Linked DNA regions of Anolis sagrei. The protein of the gene in region 2 interacts with the protein of the main gene of each other region in a biochemical or structural test. Links are inferred from orthologs where the notes say so. Each region holds a gene or a part of one and is shown on either strand. Other genes may lie near its edges.

Region 1 (7,946 bases), on a different chromosome or scaffold from region 2:
GGCACTTCAAGCGGGGTCAAACTGCATTCATTCTATAATGTAAATACAGCCCAGGACACCTTTTAAAGGGATGCCAAAGACTGCTTCTGCAAAATGGCATTGCTCTACCTTCCTTGGAAATAGGATTGGGACAGGGCCTCATTGAGCAGCATGAAGCAAAGGCCTCAAGGAGCAAGGTTGGGGTTGGCTAACATAAAAAGGCAGAATATGCTGCTTTTGGAGGTATTTTGGAGTTTGTTTTTGGAACTTCTAGAGGGGTTGGCCAGGCCTCTTTTGGGAGTGGAGTGGAAGAAAGAAAAGGAGAGGAAATGTCCCCTCTGAAGAGAGAAAGAGCATTGGACAGCCTAAGCTTGGCATGGGCAAACTTGGATCCTCCAGTTGTTTTGGACTTCAACACCCACAAATCCTAACAGCCTCAGGCCCTTTCCTTTTCCTTAAGTGGCTGAGGGGGACAAGGAAGGGGCCTGAGGCTGGGTTGCTGTGAGTTTTCCAGGCTGTCTGCCCATATTCCAGAAGCATTCTCCCCTGACCTTAGCCCACATCTATGGTAGTAATCCTCAGAGGTTTTCAGGTTTGTTGGAAACTAGGCAAGTGGGTTTTATATACCTGAGGAATAATGTCCAGGGTGGGAGAAAGAACTCTTGCCTGTTTGAGGCAAGTGTTAATGCTGCAATTGATCACCACGAGGAGCATTGCAGCTTCAAGGCTTGGCTGCTTCCTGGCTAGGGTAATCCTTTGTTGGGAGGTAGCCCTGAGTCTGTGAGGAATGGTGGGAGTTGAAGTCCAAAACATCTGGAGGGAGGGCCCAAGTTTGCCCATGCCTGGCCTAACCTGATGGGCTATAAATATACTTTCCCTACTTGAATTACATTTCATAGAATCATAGAGTTAGAAGAGACCTCATGGGCCATCCAGTCCAACCCCCTGCCAAGAAGCAGGAAAAATGCATTTAAAGCACCCCAACAGATGGCCATCCAGCCTCTGTTTAAAAGCCTCCAAAGAAGGAGCCTCCACCACACTCTGGGGCAGAGAGTTCCACTGCTGAACGGCTCTCACAGTCAGGAAGTTCTTTCTAATGTTCAGATGGAATCTCCTTTCTTGTAGTTTGAAAACATTGTTCCTTGTCCTAGTCTCCAGGGCAGCAGAAAACAAGCTTGCTTCCTCCTCCCTATGACTTCATCTCACATGGCTACTATCATGTCTCCTCTCAGCCTTCTCTTCTTCAAGCTAAACATGTCCAGCTCTTTAAGCCACTCCTCATAGGACTTGTTCTCCAGACCCTTGATCATTTTAGTCACTCTCCTCTAGACACATTGCAGCTTGTCAATATCTCTCTTCAGTTGTGGTGCCCAGAATTGGACACAATATTCCAGGTGTGGTCTAACCAAGGCAGAATAGAAGGGTTGCATGACTTCCCTAGATCTAGACACTAGACTCCTATTGATGCAGGCCAAAATCCCATTGGCTTTTTTTGCATCACATAGTTGGCTCATGTTTAACTTGTTGTCCACGAGGACTCCAAGATCTTTTTCACACGAGGTAGTATAAGAAGGGAGCTCTAAAGGATTTGAGATCTCCAGAGCTTTTTAAAAAACCATTGAAGTCCTCCCATTGGCCATTCTGTCTGGAGAATTCGGAGCTGAACTTCTGAAAGTGTGGCTTCTCTCCGGCCTCCTTTGGGAAGCAGGGTTGGCTCCCCACTTCCTCCCTTCGCTCCCTCTCTTCCTCGCCTCCCACTTGTCTTATTCCTCGCGTGTAGTTATTGATCTTTCCTCGGTCACTTCCTCCCCTCTTGCTAAGCTCTGGTTTGTACATCTGGGAGGCTTGAGATCCACGGAAGGCACAGGAGATTTGGCTCCTGAAGACCGTGCCGACTAGGGCGCATTGCCTGCCCCCCTTTTCCTTCCCAAAGAGAAGGATCCGAAGCCCGTTTCCCTCGTGGAGAGGAGTGGGTGCGTGGAGAGGGGGCTGAGCCCGAAGCCTGCCTTGGTTCACCCTCCTAGCTTCATGGGAAGGAAACTTTTTCTCGCGCAAAGTTTCTGCGGCTTCTTCTCCCCTAGATACTTTTTTGAGTTTGGAGACATGACTTGGAGGTCCCAGAATCCACAGTCTCGTCAACTTTCGGGTCGGGTGGATTCTGGGAGCGGTGGTGCAAAATCAAACCAACTAAGACGCAACTTGTCCGAGTTCGGAAAAGTTTGGAAAAGTTTGGAAAAGTTTTCACGGGACGCCTCGAAACTTTCCAAACTTTCCTTCCCACAGATCCCTCAAATAGACACCAAAGACGGCAGAGTTGGGAGCAGAGGGTCGGTAGAAAATACTAATGAGGCATTCAAAGTTAACTTTTTGAAGAGGGTCGACTTTTTTTAAAAGTCGGATTCACCCACTCTTGGATAGGAATCCCGAGTTCGCTCCCTCGCCTCTCAACGAGTTAGGAAACGAGCCGAGGCGTTATTCTGTCTTCGTTTCCCGGAGAGTAAATGCATTTATTTCTATGGACGACTTTCCCAAGTAAGGTGGGAGTTTCACGCAGGGACAGCCTCATTTCCAAGAAATCAACAGGTGGAAAGATCTCCAAACGAGAGCTCCAAGCCCTCAGAATGATCAAACGTGGTCTCCTTTTGACTTCTAGGAAAGTTTCTGGGAGGCTTGAGATGTCTTGAACGTGAAGAATATCTAAGTGCAATTGTTCAAAAATAAATATCCCATCCATCTCAGTATGTGGAAAAGTAGGTCCATCCCAATAAGTAGTATATATGGGGGAAATGGTATTTCTCAATCCACCCCAACCTATGTGGAAAGACAGGATTTATCTCTCAATCTACACCAGTAAGTAGAAAGAAGTAGGGTTATTTTTTATTATTATTTCAAACCCAGCTCCCAATATTGATCCACTCCAAGTCCTTGAGTCAGTGACCTGCTGTTGCGGAGTTGTTGGAAGGAACTCTGCCTTTCCCCCCACATGGAGAGAGGTGCCTTCCCTCCTGGAAAGAAGACCAACTCCGCTGCTTTTCGGGCTGGAGTTGCGGGCTCCCATCTCCGGCGAGGCTGCGTGGATCTGGGCGAGCGCCTTTGTCTGTCCCGAGTCTGCTGCATCTCCAGCCAGAGAGCCACTCATGCCGCATTTCCCTCCGCGCCACTCACTTGAGGTCTGCCTCTGACGTGTGAAGAGGCTTTCCGCGCCAGGGAGAAGGAAGGAAAGGGAAGGGGAAGGGAGGAGGAAAGAGGGGAGGAAAGAGGGAAGGAAGGGAAGGGAAGGGAAGGAGGGAGGGAAAGGAGAAGGAGAAAAAGGAGAAGGAAGGAAGGGGAAGGGGAAGGTAGGAGGAACGAGGGAAGGGAAAGGGAGGGAGGGAAGGAGAAGGAAGGAAAATTAAGGGAAGGAAGGGAAGGAAAGGAGGGAGAAGGAAGGGAAAGAAGGAAGAAGAGAGGGAAGTGAAGGGAGGGAGGGAGGGAAAGAGAAGGAAGGAAAGAAGGAAGGAAGGAAAGAGAAAGGAAGGAGGAGGAGGAAGGGAAAGAAGGAAGAAGAGAGGGAAGTGAAGGAAGAAAGAAAGGGAGGGAGGGAAGGAGAAGGAAGGAAAATTAAGGGAAGAAAAGGAGGAAGAAGGAAGGGAAAGAAGGAAGGAAAGAAGAAAGGGAAAGGAAGAAGAGAAGGAAGGGAAGGAAGGGAAGGAAGGGAGGGAGGAGGAGGAGGAAGGGAAGGAAAGAAGGGGAAGGAACAAAAGGAAGAGAAGGAAGGAATGAGAAGGATGGAGAAGGAAAGTAAGGGAAGGGAAGTAGAAAGCCCTGGGAAGCCTTACCTGGGGCTCCGATCAATACCCTCAGAATGGGGAGCAAGCCTCCTCTTGCCTCGCAGCTCAGCCCCATTTTCCTCCAAGGTCTCCTTTGGGGCGCCAGGACTCCTCGAGATGTTTAATTGCTCCTTCCATAAAATATTGTGTGTGAGCATGGCTGCCCACACTCACATTCGCATTCTATATTGCACCCTACAGGTGGTGAAGCCCAATTATAGTCGTAAGTACCGTAAGACCCATTGTAATCAATAGGGCGGACAAACGAGTTGACTCAGAGACCTCTATTTTTTCCATTCCTAATATGTAGGTAGGTACCTCACATGTACCTGTGTACACTTCTCCAACAGGGATTCTCATAGATAGATAGATGTGTGCCTTCAAGACACCTGTTGACTTATGTTGACCCCATAGGGCTTTTTGGGTCGTTCCTTCCTCTGAAATGCATCCCACAGCCCCTGATATTCCCTGGTGGGAAGTACTGACCCTGACTCGTTTCCAAAATCAGGTGGGATCTGGTGCCTTTGGGGCATTTAGGTCAGGAAAGAGAGGGGGGTGTAGACAGAAGGACCTTAAGGCAACCTATTGGGAGCTTTTGCTGGTTCAGAAAGACTTTTGCCCTGGCCATCCTCTGATGTGGGGAGAGCCTGGTCTCCAGAGTCCACGCGGCTCAGGTGCAGATATATCCGTGTATCCTTCCCTATATGACACACAGGGAGGGATAGGCAGGCAGACACACCAAATCAAGAGAGACGTTTCTGTCCTAATCCCCAAACTCGCTGTCAGGTGCCTGGCTGAGCGGCTGGCTCCCCTTCCACGCCTTCCTCCTCCTCCTCCTCCTCCCGACCAGCATCTGCTCCTCTTGCCCTAGAAAAAAGAGAAAAGTTTCCGAGTGGATGGAGGGCCGAGAGGGAGGCAGGAAGGAAAGCAAGCAAGAGCAGCCTGGTTGGGGGGCGCCTCTTGTTGCGGGTGCGCCTCTCCTTCTCCTTCTTCCTCATCATCCTCACCTTCTTGTTGTGGTTGTTGTGTTGTTGTTGTTGTTGGCCTCCTCGAGGGTTAACGCCTCCCTCCGCCGGCGCGCTCCTCCCGCCTCGTCCAATCAGCGCGCAGCCCTGGCAGCTATAATATCCCAACTAAAGGCAGGCTCCTTCGCAGCACACAGCGCAGCGCCCGGGCGGCGGAGCTCCCACTAGAGACCCACGAGCGAGAAAAGGAGAGAGACAGAGAGAGAGAAGGAGGGAGAGCAGAGAGAAAGAGAGAGCAGCTCCCCGCCTTCCTTCCTTCCTTCCTTCCTTCCTTCCTTCCTTCCTTCCTTCCTTCCTTCCTTTTCCTTCCTTCCTTCCCTCCCCACCCGAGACGCGTGGCTCCCCTGGCCTTCCCTCTCTTCCTCCTCCTCCTCCTCCTCTTCCCCGCCCCACGGCCGGCCTTTCTCTGGGGCGTCCCGTCCACTCCCGCACCTGCCACGCAAAGGATCGGACGCGGAGGAAGAAGGAGCGCAGAGAGAGAGACAGAGAGACAGAGAGAGAGGCATCGCACCATCGCAGAGGCGCAGAGCGATCCCCGAGCCTCCGGGAGTTGCTTCTCGGGGGGAGGCGGAGGCTTGCAGCCGGCTCCCCCCTCCTGCTCCCTCCTCGCCTCCTTCCTCGCCTCCTTCCTCCTCCTCCTCTCCTCCTCCTCCTTCCCGGGCCGGGATGCGTCTGCCGGGGGGCGCGGGTCTGGCGTGGGGGGCGCCTGCGCTCCTCCTCCTGCTCCTCTGCCCCTCGGGCCTGGCCTGCGGCCCTGGAAGGGGCTTCGGGAAGCGGCGGCACCCCAAGAAGCTCACGCCCTTGGCCTACAAGCAGTTCATCCCCAACGTGGCCGAGAAGACGCTGGGCGCCTCCGGGCGCTACGAGGGCAAGATCAGCCGCAGCTCGGAGCGCTTCAAGGAGCTCACCCCCAACTACAACCCGGACATCATCTTCAAGGATGAGGAGAACACCGGCGCGGACCGGCTCATGACCCAGGTCAGTGGGGTTCCCCCTCTCTCCCCCCTGCAGACCCCCACCTTGCTTCCCTCTCGCCTTTCCCCTTTCAGGTGTTCAGCTGGAGATAGTCGAGGTGTGTTTTGCCCCCCTCTCTCTTGCTAGGGACCTGACTCATTCAGAGAGAGGGTTTGCCCCCCATTCAGACCTTCCTCCACGCCCGGGGCGGGTCTTGGCTTGCCTTTCTAGCTCGCCTTTCCACCTGCGGCAGGTCGAATTGGTCCTTGGCCCTCTCAGGCTGGCCCAGGCCAGCCAGTGTGTGTGTGTCCCCAACTCAGACCTTCATTTAGGGCCCCCTTTCTCGCTTGTGAGAGTGTGTGTGTGTATGTGTGTCCAACTCAGCCTTCATTTAGGGCGACCCTTTCCCGCTTGAATCCCCATAGCCTCCCCCTTCCTTTCCGAGGTGCTTCTTGGCCCTCTCTGGCTCGCCTCTCCCCACCTGCTGACCTAAGCCAGCCAGAGAGAGAAAGAGGTATTCCCACCCATTAGGGGCCCTTTTTTCGCTTGACTTCCCCACTCGAGCACCCCCACAGCCTCCCCCTTCTTTTCCGAGGTGTTCCTTGGCCCTCTCTGGCTCGCCTTCCCTCAGCTGCTGATCCAGGGCACTCAGAGAGAGAGAGGGGGGAACCCTCTCCCCATTCAGACCTTCATTTAGGACCCCTTTTCTTGCTTGACTTCCCCACTCGAGCATCCCCACAACCTCCCCTTTCTTTCCGAGGTGTTCCTTGGCCCTCTCTGGCTTGCCTTCCCCTAGCTGCTGACCCAGGACAGTCAAGAGAGCAAAAGAGAGGGTTTTCCTCAATTCAGACCTTCATTTAGGGTCACTTTTATCCCTTGATTTTTCCACTCGGACATCCCCACACCTCCTCCTTTTCCGAGGTGCTCCTTGGCTCCCTCTGGCTCGCCTCTCCCCACCTGCTGACCCAGGCCAGTCAGAGAGAGGAAGAGGTATTCAGACCTTCATTTAGGGGGCCTTTTATTGCTTGCCTTCCCTACTCGAACACCCCCACAGCCTCCCCCTGGGGAGAGGGCTCTTTGGCCCTCTCCCCAGCTGATAGCCCAGGCCAGTCAGAATGGGTTTCCCCATTCAGGTGGATCTTGCTCCCCACTAAGTTTGCAAGAGGAAGAATAAGAGCTGCAAGGAGAAGAGGAGGAGGAGGAAGGGCGGAAGGCTTCCCACCTGCGTGCCTGCCGTGCCTGCCTTTCCCTGGGATGGAGGAGGAGGGGGAGGCGCAAAGACTCGCGTGGCGGGCGTGGGGTGACACTCGCGCCACGCCGATGCCCTTCCCTGCCACTTGGTTGGTCGGTGGGTTGGTTAGCCGGTTCTGACTGCTTCTCTCCCCCCCCCCCCCACCGCTCTCCCTATTCCTCCTCTTTCCCAGGATCCGAGGGGAGCCCACGCCACGAGAGAGAGAGAGAGAGAGAGAGAGAGATCCCTTCCTCTCTCTCTCCTTCCTCCCCTCCCTTCCTGCACCTTGCGCTTCCTGGCCAGCCTCCCTTGAGGTCCAGAGGCCCAGAAGGAGAAGGGGATGGAGAAGGAGAAGGTGGGGGCTCTCTTGCAACCCACGCCCTCCTCCCCTTCTCTCCTTTTCCTCGCCATCCCCTCGTGGGCCACTGCGCCCAGATGAGCATTCAGAGATCGATTTCCCTTTAAGGATGCTCCCCCATTAGACCTGCTTTCCCACCAAAGGCCGGGGGGGGGGGAGAGGAGAGGGGGAGGGAGGGACGAGTAACTTAACCAGCATTGCATCACTTCAATGGAGGAAGGAGGGAGAGAGAAAGAAAGAGAAGAGCTCAGACTGAGGACTCTCTCTCTTTCTCTGTGTCTCTCTATGAATGAATCCTCCAAGGATCCAAGGCTTCAGACCCAAGGCTAAAAATAGGAAGTGGGTTTAAGGGGTCCATCCTTCTCTTCCTCTTGATGCGGAAGCTTGGGCTCTTCCATCCCTCTTCCGCCTTCTTCCTCCTCCTCTTCTCCTCTCAGTTCCGGAGTTCCTCCAAACTACCTGCCGCCCAGCTTGGCATCCTTCCTTCTTTCCTTCCAAATATAGGTCAACAGTCTTTCTGCCTCCTTCCTTCCCTCCCTCCTTCCGCTATTCATATGTTTAAGCCCCACCTTCGGGTCTCTCCTGGAGAC
Region 2 (8,062 bases):
TAGGTTGGCAGAAGATGGGTCTAATAGCGGGAGTTCACCCTGCACCATGGATTTTAACCACCAACCTTTCAGTCAGCAAGTTCCGCCGCTCACCGGTTTAACCCATTGCACCACCATGGCCCTAGCACATAGGTAAAATCCATTAATTCAATGAGCCTACTTTAGTCAGGGCTAACAAGACTTAAGCAGCTGTTTGTACCTCTTTTGCAGAGCCATGGAAGCCAGAGAGTGTCAATGGAAGCCAAGGCTGATTTCTGGCAAAGAGATGCCCCCAAAGAGTCACCCAATTGCCTTTTCCTAAAGCAACTCAACCTTCAACAAGTTGCTTGTTTCAAGTCATAAGGTCCATCTACATTGCAGAATGAATACAGTTTAACACCACTTGAACTACCATGGCTCAAGACTATGGAAATCAGGCAAGCTGCAAGTCGCATATACAACACCAGAGATACTCTAAGTGGCCAGTTACTGGTCAAAGGACATTTAGTATAATGCCAAGTTTTTAAACTTGGTGTTTTTAAATACATTATGACTGTACCCTTGGTTCACTTCTGACATGATAAATAGGCAAGTTACAGTTTGATGAGGCCCTAGCACTCTTGGGCAGAGAAGGCACGCAAGCTTATGAAATGACAACTTCCAGCACAGGGCAGTTCAAGAGATGTCAATTGGCATTCAATCACACAGTGTAAATGCAACCTCCAGAAAAAGTCCCCTTGATGCTTGCACTCACATTTCCTTACTGGAACATGTAGCCAGGAAGAAAGAGATGGACATAGAATCACAAAATCATAGAGTTGGAAGAGACCTTGTGGGCCATCCAGTCCAACCCCCTGCCAAGAAGCAAGAAAATAGCATTCAAAGCACGCCTGACAGATGGTCATCCAGCCTCTGTTTAAAAACCTCCAAAGAAGGAGCCTCCACAACACTCCAGGGCGGAGAGTCCCACTGCTGAATAGCTCTCACAGTCAGGAAGTTCTTCCTCATGTTCAGGTGGAATCTCTTTTCCTGTTGTTTGAAGCTATTGTTCTGCATCCTAGTCTCCAGGGCAACATAAAACAAGCTTGCTCCCTCTTCCCCATGACTTCCTCTCACATGTTTATATATGGCCATAATGCCTCCTCTCAGCCTTCTCTTCTGCAGGCTATACATGCCTAGGGCTTGTTCTCCAGACCCTTGATCATTTGAGCTGCCCTCCTCTGGAAACATTCCAGCCTGTCAACATCTCCCTTCAATTGTGGTGCCCAGAATTGGACACAGTGTGATTCCAGGTGTCATCTGACCACATATTATATGTACTATGTCTTTAGGCCAGAGGTTTACTAAAGCAGTGCAAACAAATATATATCTGTGGTCTAAAGCCATAGTACTTATACCTGGGACCTCAAAGATTTAAGATGGACATGTTGTGAAAGGAACACTTCCCATATCGATTTCAGTGAAGCCCCTGCCAGGCAGACATACAGACATTATGGTGTGGGGTGCCCTTCCAAGAATCCAATTGGGATCCAAGAGACCTCTTGATCCATCCCACCAGCCGTCATGAGGTCAAAGAAGAGAGGGAGAGAAGGGATGCATCTTTTACACCAGGCATGAGCCAACTTGGGTCCTCCAGGTGTGTTGGACTTCAACTCCCACCATCCCTAACAGCCTCAGGCCCTCCCACCAGCCGTCATGAGGTCAGAGAGGAGGGGGAGAGATGGGGTGCATCTTCTACACCAGGCATGGGCCAACTTGGGTCCTCCAGGTGTTTTGGACTTCAACTCCCACCATCCCTCACAGCCTCAGGCCCTTTCCTTTCCCTCCAGCTGCCATGAGGTCAAAGAAGAGAGGGGGAGAAGGGATGCATCTTCTACACCTGGCATGAGCCATCTTGGGCCCTCCAGGTGTGTTGGACTTCAACTCCCACCATCCCTAACAGCCTCAGGCCCTCCCTCCAGCCGTAATGAGGGAGAGATGGGATGCATCTTCTACACCAGGCATTGGCCAACTTGGGTCCTCCAGGTGTGTTGGACTTCAACTCCCACCATCCCTAACAGCCTCAGGCCCTCCCACCAGCCGTAATGAGGGAGAGATGGGATGCATCTTCTACACCAGGCATTGGCCAACTTGGGTCCTCCAGGTGTTTTGGGCTTCAACTCCCACCATCCCTAACAGCCTCAAGCCCCTTCCTTTTCTCCCTTAAGTGGCTGAGGGGGAAAAGGAAAGGGCCTGAGGCTGTTGGAGATGGTGGGAGTTGAAATCCAAAACATCTGGAGGACCCAAGTTGGCCCATGCATGTTCTCCATTGGCTGGTTCTTTGCGTGTAATGACAGCAGTGAGGCCAGCCCTCCTCTCTCCTTCCTATCCTCTCTCTCTCTCTCTCTCCTTCAACTGGATTTCCCTGGATTTCTTTCCTTCCTTCCTTCCTTCCTTCCTTCCTTCCTTCCTTCCTTCCTTCCTTCCTTCCTTCCTTCCTTCCTCTTGTTCCATCCCTCCCCGTCAGCCTTCTCTCCCACTCACAACACACACACACAAACACCCTCCCTGTGCCAGCTCGCCCAAAGGGATTTGCCATCTGCCAGGCGCATCCACCCGCGGATCTCCTTCCCTCCCTCCCTCCCTCTTTCCGTCCTTCCTTCCCTCCCTCCCTTCTCTCTCATTCCCCGGCCCCGCTTTCCCGATGGCGCTTTCCCGGACTCACCCTCTCCCCTTGGAGCCCCTGGAAGGGGTGGAGTGGCCTCTGGGTCCGGCTGGTCGCCTTCATTCCCCGCCGCCGTGGTGCCGCCGAGGCAGAAGCCAACTTGGAGGAAGAGAAGGAGAGGAGGACATCCAAGTGCCTTTCCTGGGAGACTTCCCTGCTCCGAAATGCAAACTCCCTCTTTCCTCTCTTGCCCGTCCGCTTCTCCCTTTCCCAAAGCTTTGGAAGGCTCCCCCGCTTCCAAATAACGAGAATAATAATAGTAATAATAATAACCATCCGCATCAACAGGAATCCTCCTCCATGGCAAGCGTTCGGCGGAGTGCGCACAATTGCGTGCCTGTTTCTATTAAGAGCTCCATCGTCCTCTCCATGTGGGTGGTCTGGCTTTCTCAATAGGCAGGACCTGTCAGGATCACGTGATGGATCCGAAAAACCTTTTTTTTCACTCCCCCCCCCCTTTTTTTGGTACAATAAACTCAAGGAAAAGCAAAGTAAACCCAAGGAACTGACGCTCAGAGCAGCCCTCCTGGGTAAACAAGCATCAAGCAGCCTCGCTCCCTTTCTCTCTCTCTCTCTCTCTCTCTCTCTCTGAAGGTCCCTGGAGCAGACCCCAAGCATGAAATTGACAAAGTGGCTACAACACTCCTTCCCCCCACCCCACCCCACTTTCCCCTCTCCCTCCCCATAGTCTCCCCTTTCTCTCTCTCTTCTACCTTCACTTAAAAGCATCATTCATCTGATGCTACAAATCTTGCTTTCATCTGAAGCATGAAGTTCACTTGTAGTCTCAGTTCCTCTTGGGAAGTACAACAGACTCTCAGTTGGCCAACATCATGGGGATTAGTAAATGGCAGATAAATGACATTTCTGGTTGCTTGAGAGTTACTATTCATATAGCCTTTAATATATTATATATAAATAATATATACTTAGGCGATTCCTCATAGCTCGAGGATGATGGTCTTCCACATGTAGTGTCTTGGTGGTGGGTCTGTAGGTGGCTGTGGAGCCCTATTCTTGATCTGCATGTTCTCTCCCAATGAGGACATCGGTTTCCAGATGGAAGGTGGTCCCAGTCAGGGTTGGCTTGATGTGCCTTCCTCTTGGCATGTTTCTCCATTTCACCCTTCATTTGTGCCTCTTCGGATTCTGCAGCACCGCTGGTCACAGCTGACCTCCAGTTAGAAAATAATATATAGTTCATATTAATATAGGTAAAGGTAAGGGTTTTCCCCTGACATTAAGTCCAGTCCTGTCCAACTCTGGGGGTTGGTGCTTATCTCCATTTCTAAACCAAAGAGCCAATGTTGTCCATAGACACCTCCAAGGTCATGTGGCTGGCATCCCTTTAGGAACCATCAAGGATGTTTAGATAATCTGGGGAGGCCCTGCTCTCGGTCCCACCTCCTTTGCAGTCGCGACTGGTGGTAATGAGAGACAGGGCCTTCTCCATGGTGGTTCCTCGGCTGTGGAACTCCCTCCCCAATGAAATTAGGTCTGCATTCTCTCTCCTGGCCTTTCATCATAAACTTAAAACCTGGCTGTGGGATCAAGCATTTGAGCAAGAGATGTAGCAACTGGGAAGACAATGTTTTAATGGACAATGGACTGACCTGGACTATGATTTTGAACCGGTGGACTGTTTTAAATTGAATGTTTATAATTGTTTTAATTTCTGTTTTAATTGTAACTGTGTATTTTAATGTATTGTCTGACATCTAACGCTTACCTATTGTAAGCCACCCTGAGTCCCTCTTCGGAGTGGGAAGGGCAGGATATAAATGCTTGAAATACTACTACTACTACTACTACTACTACTAATAATAATAATAATAATAGTTCATATAAATATAAAGTTAATATTAATATAGACTATAATGTATTAATATTGTTACTGTGTTGTTGAAGGCTTTCATGGCCAGAATCACTGGGTTGCTTTGAGTTGTCTGGGCTTTATGGCCATGTTCCAGAAGCATTTTCTCCTGCCATTTGTTTGTCTGTTTATTTATTTATTTACTGTACTTCTACCCTACCCTTCTCAAACTATGGCAATAATTCAATGCCAGATTCAGACAATAACACAACAATAAAATACCTATTACAAAACTGTAAAAAGCATATACATATCAATTAAATAGTCTTTCAAATGATTAAAACATATCAAAGATATCAAAAGTCTAGCACCAACTGAACTTCGTAAACATTAAACCAATGGCTTTCGCCGTTCTTATACAGATTCCGTCATACTTATGGATCATATTAATTCTCAAAGGCTTGCTTAAATAGCCAGGTCTTAAGATTTTCCCTGAAGCTTAAGGGTGAGCGGGCTGTTCTGATGTCACTGGGGCCACCAAGGGGCCACCACCGAGAGGGTCCTGTCTCTCATCCCTGTCAACCGCGCACTGGATCATAAAGGGAGATACATTTGGACAGGTAAGCTGGACCAGAACCATTTAGGGATTTATAGGCTAAAGCCAGCACTTTGAATTGTGCTCAAAAGCAAATTGGCAGCCAGTGGAGCTGACATAACAGGGATGTTTCACATCTATGGTAGGCATCCTCAGAGGTTGTAGGGTCTCTTGGAAACTAGGCAAGTGGGGTTTATATATCTGTGGAATGTCCAGAGTGGGAGAAAGTAACTCTTGTCTGTTGAAGGCAAGTGTGAATGTTGCAATTAGCCACCTTGATTAGCATCGAATAGCCTTGCAGCTTCAAAGCCTGGCTGCTTCCTGTCTGGGGGGAATCCTTTGTTGAGAGGTGTTAGCTGGCCCTGATTGCTTCCTTTCTGGAATTCCCCTGTTTTCTTAGAGTTGTTCTTTATTTACCTTCCTGATTTTAGAGTTTTTAAAATACTGGCAGTCATATTATTTGAGAACACAGAATGCTGGACCGCTCTAACAACCCGCATGTCAGACTACACAGAGAAGCAATTGAAATCCACAAGCATGTGGACAATTTCAACAGAAAGGAGGAAACCATGAAAACGAACAAAGTCTAGCTACCAGTATTTTTAAAAAACCCTCTAAAATCAGAACATTAAATAAAGAATAACACTCAGAAAACAGAGGAATTTCAGACAGGAAACAATCAGAGCCAGCTAACACATCCCAACAAAGGATTCCTCCTGGCAGGAAGCAGCCAGGCTTTGAAGCTGCAAGGCCATTCAATGATAATCAAGCTGGCCAATTAAAACATTCACACTTGCCTCAAGCAGACAAGAGTTCTTTCTCCCACCACAGATATATAAACCACACTTGCGTAGTTTCCAACAGACCTCACAACCTCTCAGGGTGCTTGCCATAGATGTGGGGAAAACGTCAGGAGAGAATGCTTCTCAAACATGGCCATATAGCCCAGAAAACTCACAGCAACCCAATATAGTTATTATTAATATAATAAGATAATATACTTAATAGGTCCATGAGGTCCCAAAGAACTGAACAAATAAACAACAAAAAATTAATATAGACCTAAATAATACTATACCTCACAAATTAATATAGACCTAACTAATACTATACCTCACACCATACCTCTGTATTGATGTGATATTAATATTTAAATACAGTAATTAAAATCAAATTGAGACATATAAGGACAAACATAATGTAACAGTTCTGCTGTTTTACTGTATTTTTTAAAAAATAAAGTATTATTTATTCGGGGGGTTTTTTTTGTCAGTTGCTTGAGTTCCAGTTAAGTGAGAGTCTACTATAAAATCGTGTTGTGTGTGTGCCTTTGCCCTCAAGATGTGTGTGTATTGGGGAGAGGGCAAGTGCTGGAATGCAGTTTTCCTTGTTAAAATAAATACGGGATAAAATGAAGAGAAGGGGGGGATGGACCAGAGTTTTCCTCCTGCTGAAATGTTTACTCATTCCATCCCACGGCTTGGTTTTCAAATGTTTGCCCTTGCAGGATGGATGTTAATCTTTGCCATTTTTCTCCCTGAGAAAGGTTCACCAGGAAGATAGCAAATATACAAGGCAAAAGGGGGAAAAAAGTTAGATAGAAAATACCCAATCATTTCTTATGTCTATTCTGTTCTCTAACTCATGTAGAGTCTTTTGAGAAGAAAAGAAAGAGGGAAACTAAATCCAGTGGCGTTCAAGGACTAATAGCCTCTTTGCACCATATAGATCATCAGTTGTTTTTATGAAAGATGTTGCTTTGTGTGTATTTTGTTTCATGACAAACTTGGGGATCAGAACTGTCTGGTGGCTACTAGCAAAAACAGGTCTTCCTGAAATTTGGAAAGAATTATCCAAGGAACCTCATCTCCCTCTCCTCCTTCTCCTTTATTTGATTTATGTCCGGCTCTTCCTCCTAAGAGCTCTGAGGGCAGGGTCAGCTCAGCTCTGTATCAACAGTAACGCTTTCCATTAGTCTGATCACAGCCACCAAAGCAACATGATTTGTTCACAGGAACAACATCCTTATTGTAAAAGGCATACCATAACTCTGTGCATGTTGTTCCTGTTTCAGAAACTGAAAGAGCACCTTAAAAACAAAAGAACCAATGAACAAAATCACACCAAAATGTCTCACAACACAAGGAGTGACCATCACTCAAAAATTATGATTTTGTCATTTGGGAGTTGTAGTTGCTGGGATTTATAGTTCACCTATAATCAAAGAGCATTCTGAACTCCCCCAATGATGGAATTGATCCAAACTTGGCACACAGGACTCCTATGACCAACAGAGAACACTGGAAGGGTTTGGTGGGCATTGACCTTGAGTTTGGGAGTTGTAGTTTGCCTACATCCAGAGAGAACTGTGGACTCAAACAATGATGGATCTGGACCAAACTTGGCACGAATACTCAATATGCCCAAATATGAGCTCAGATGGGAGTTGTAGTTACTGGGATTTATAGTTCACCTACTTTTAAACAGAGGTTGGATGGCCATCTGTTAGGGGTGCTTTGAATGCAATTTTCCTGCTTCTTGGCAGGAGGTTGGACTGGATGGCCCATGAGGTCTCTTCCAACTCAATGATTCTATGAAAGTGTTCTGATGTCCCACCAAACTAGAATTCCCATGATTCTGGAGCATTGAGCCATGGCAGTTAAAGTGGTGTTAAATTCCATTAATTCTACAGTGCAGATATACCCCTGGATAGAGATATCCTGCTACAGGTTTGACACTGAAGGTGGGCATGTTTATATATACCTACAAAGGGCCCATAGTTCAGCAAAGGCCAGTCCCCAGACTTGTTCCTACTCTTCATCTCTGAAATATTTTATTTTCCCTTCTCACTCTGGTCTAGACCATGGCTGTCTCTGAGATGGAGAAGCAGTAGATGCCACTGTCTAGCACAGGCATGGGCAAACTTCGCCTTTCCAGGTGTTTTAGACTTCAACTCCCATAATTCCTCGGA

The links.
Region 1: the proteins of PTCH1 (region 2) and SHH are reported together in a solved structure, tested with the Homo sapiens proteins (5 studies listed by BioGRID and IntAct, with this or other methods). The link is inferred for Anolis sagrei from reciprocal best matches to the Homo sapiens genes PTCH1 and SHH.

Annotation. Positions count from the first base shown.
Region 1 is NC_090026.1:119,821,300-119,829,245, forward strand, and holds the start of SHH (sonic hedgehog protein), read left to right. Parts: upstream 1-4,913; 5' UTR 4,914-5,479; coding exon 5,480-5,791; intron 5,792-7,946.
Region 2 is NC_090022.1:230,895,396-230,903,457, forward strand, and holds the start of PTCH1 (protein patched homolog 1), read right to left. Parts: upstream 3,081-8,062; 5' UTR 2,966-3,080; coding exon 2,684-2,965; intron 1-2,683.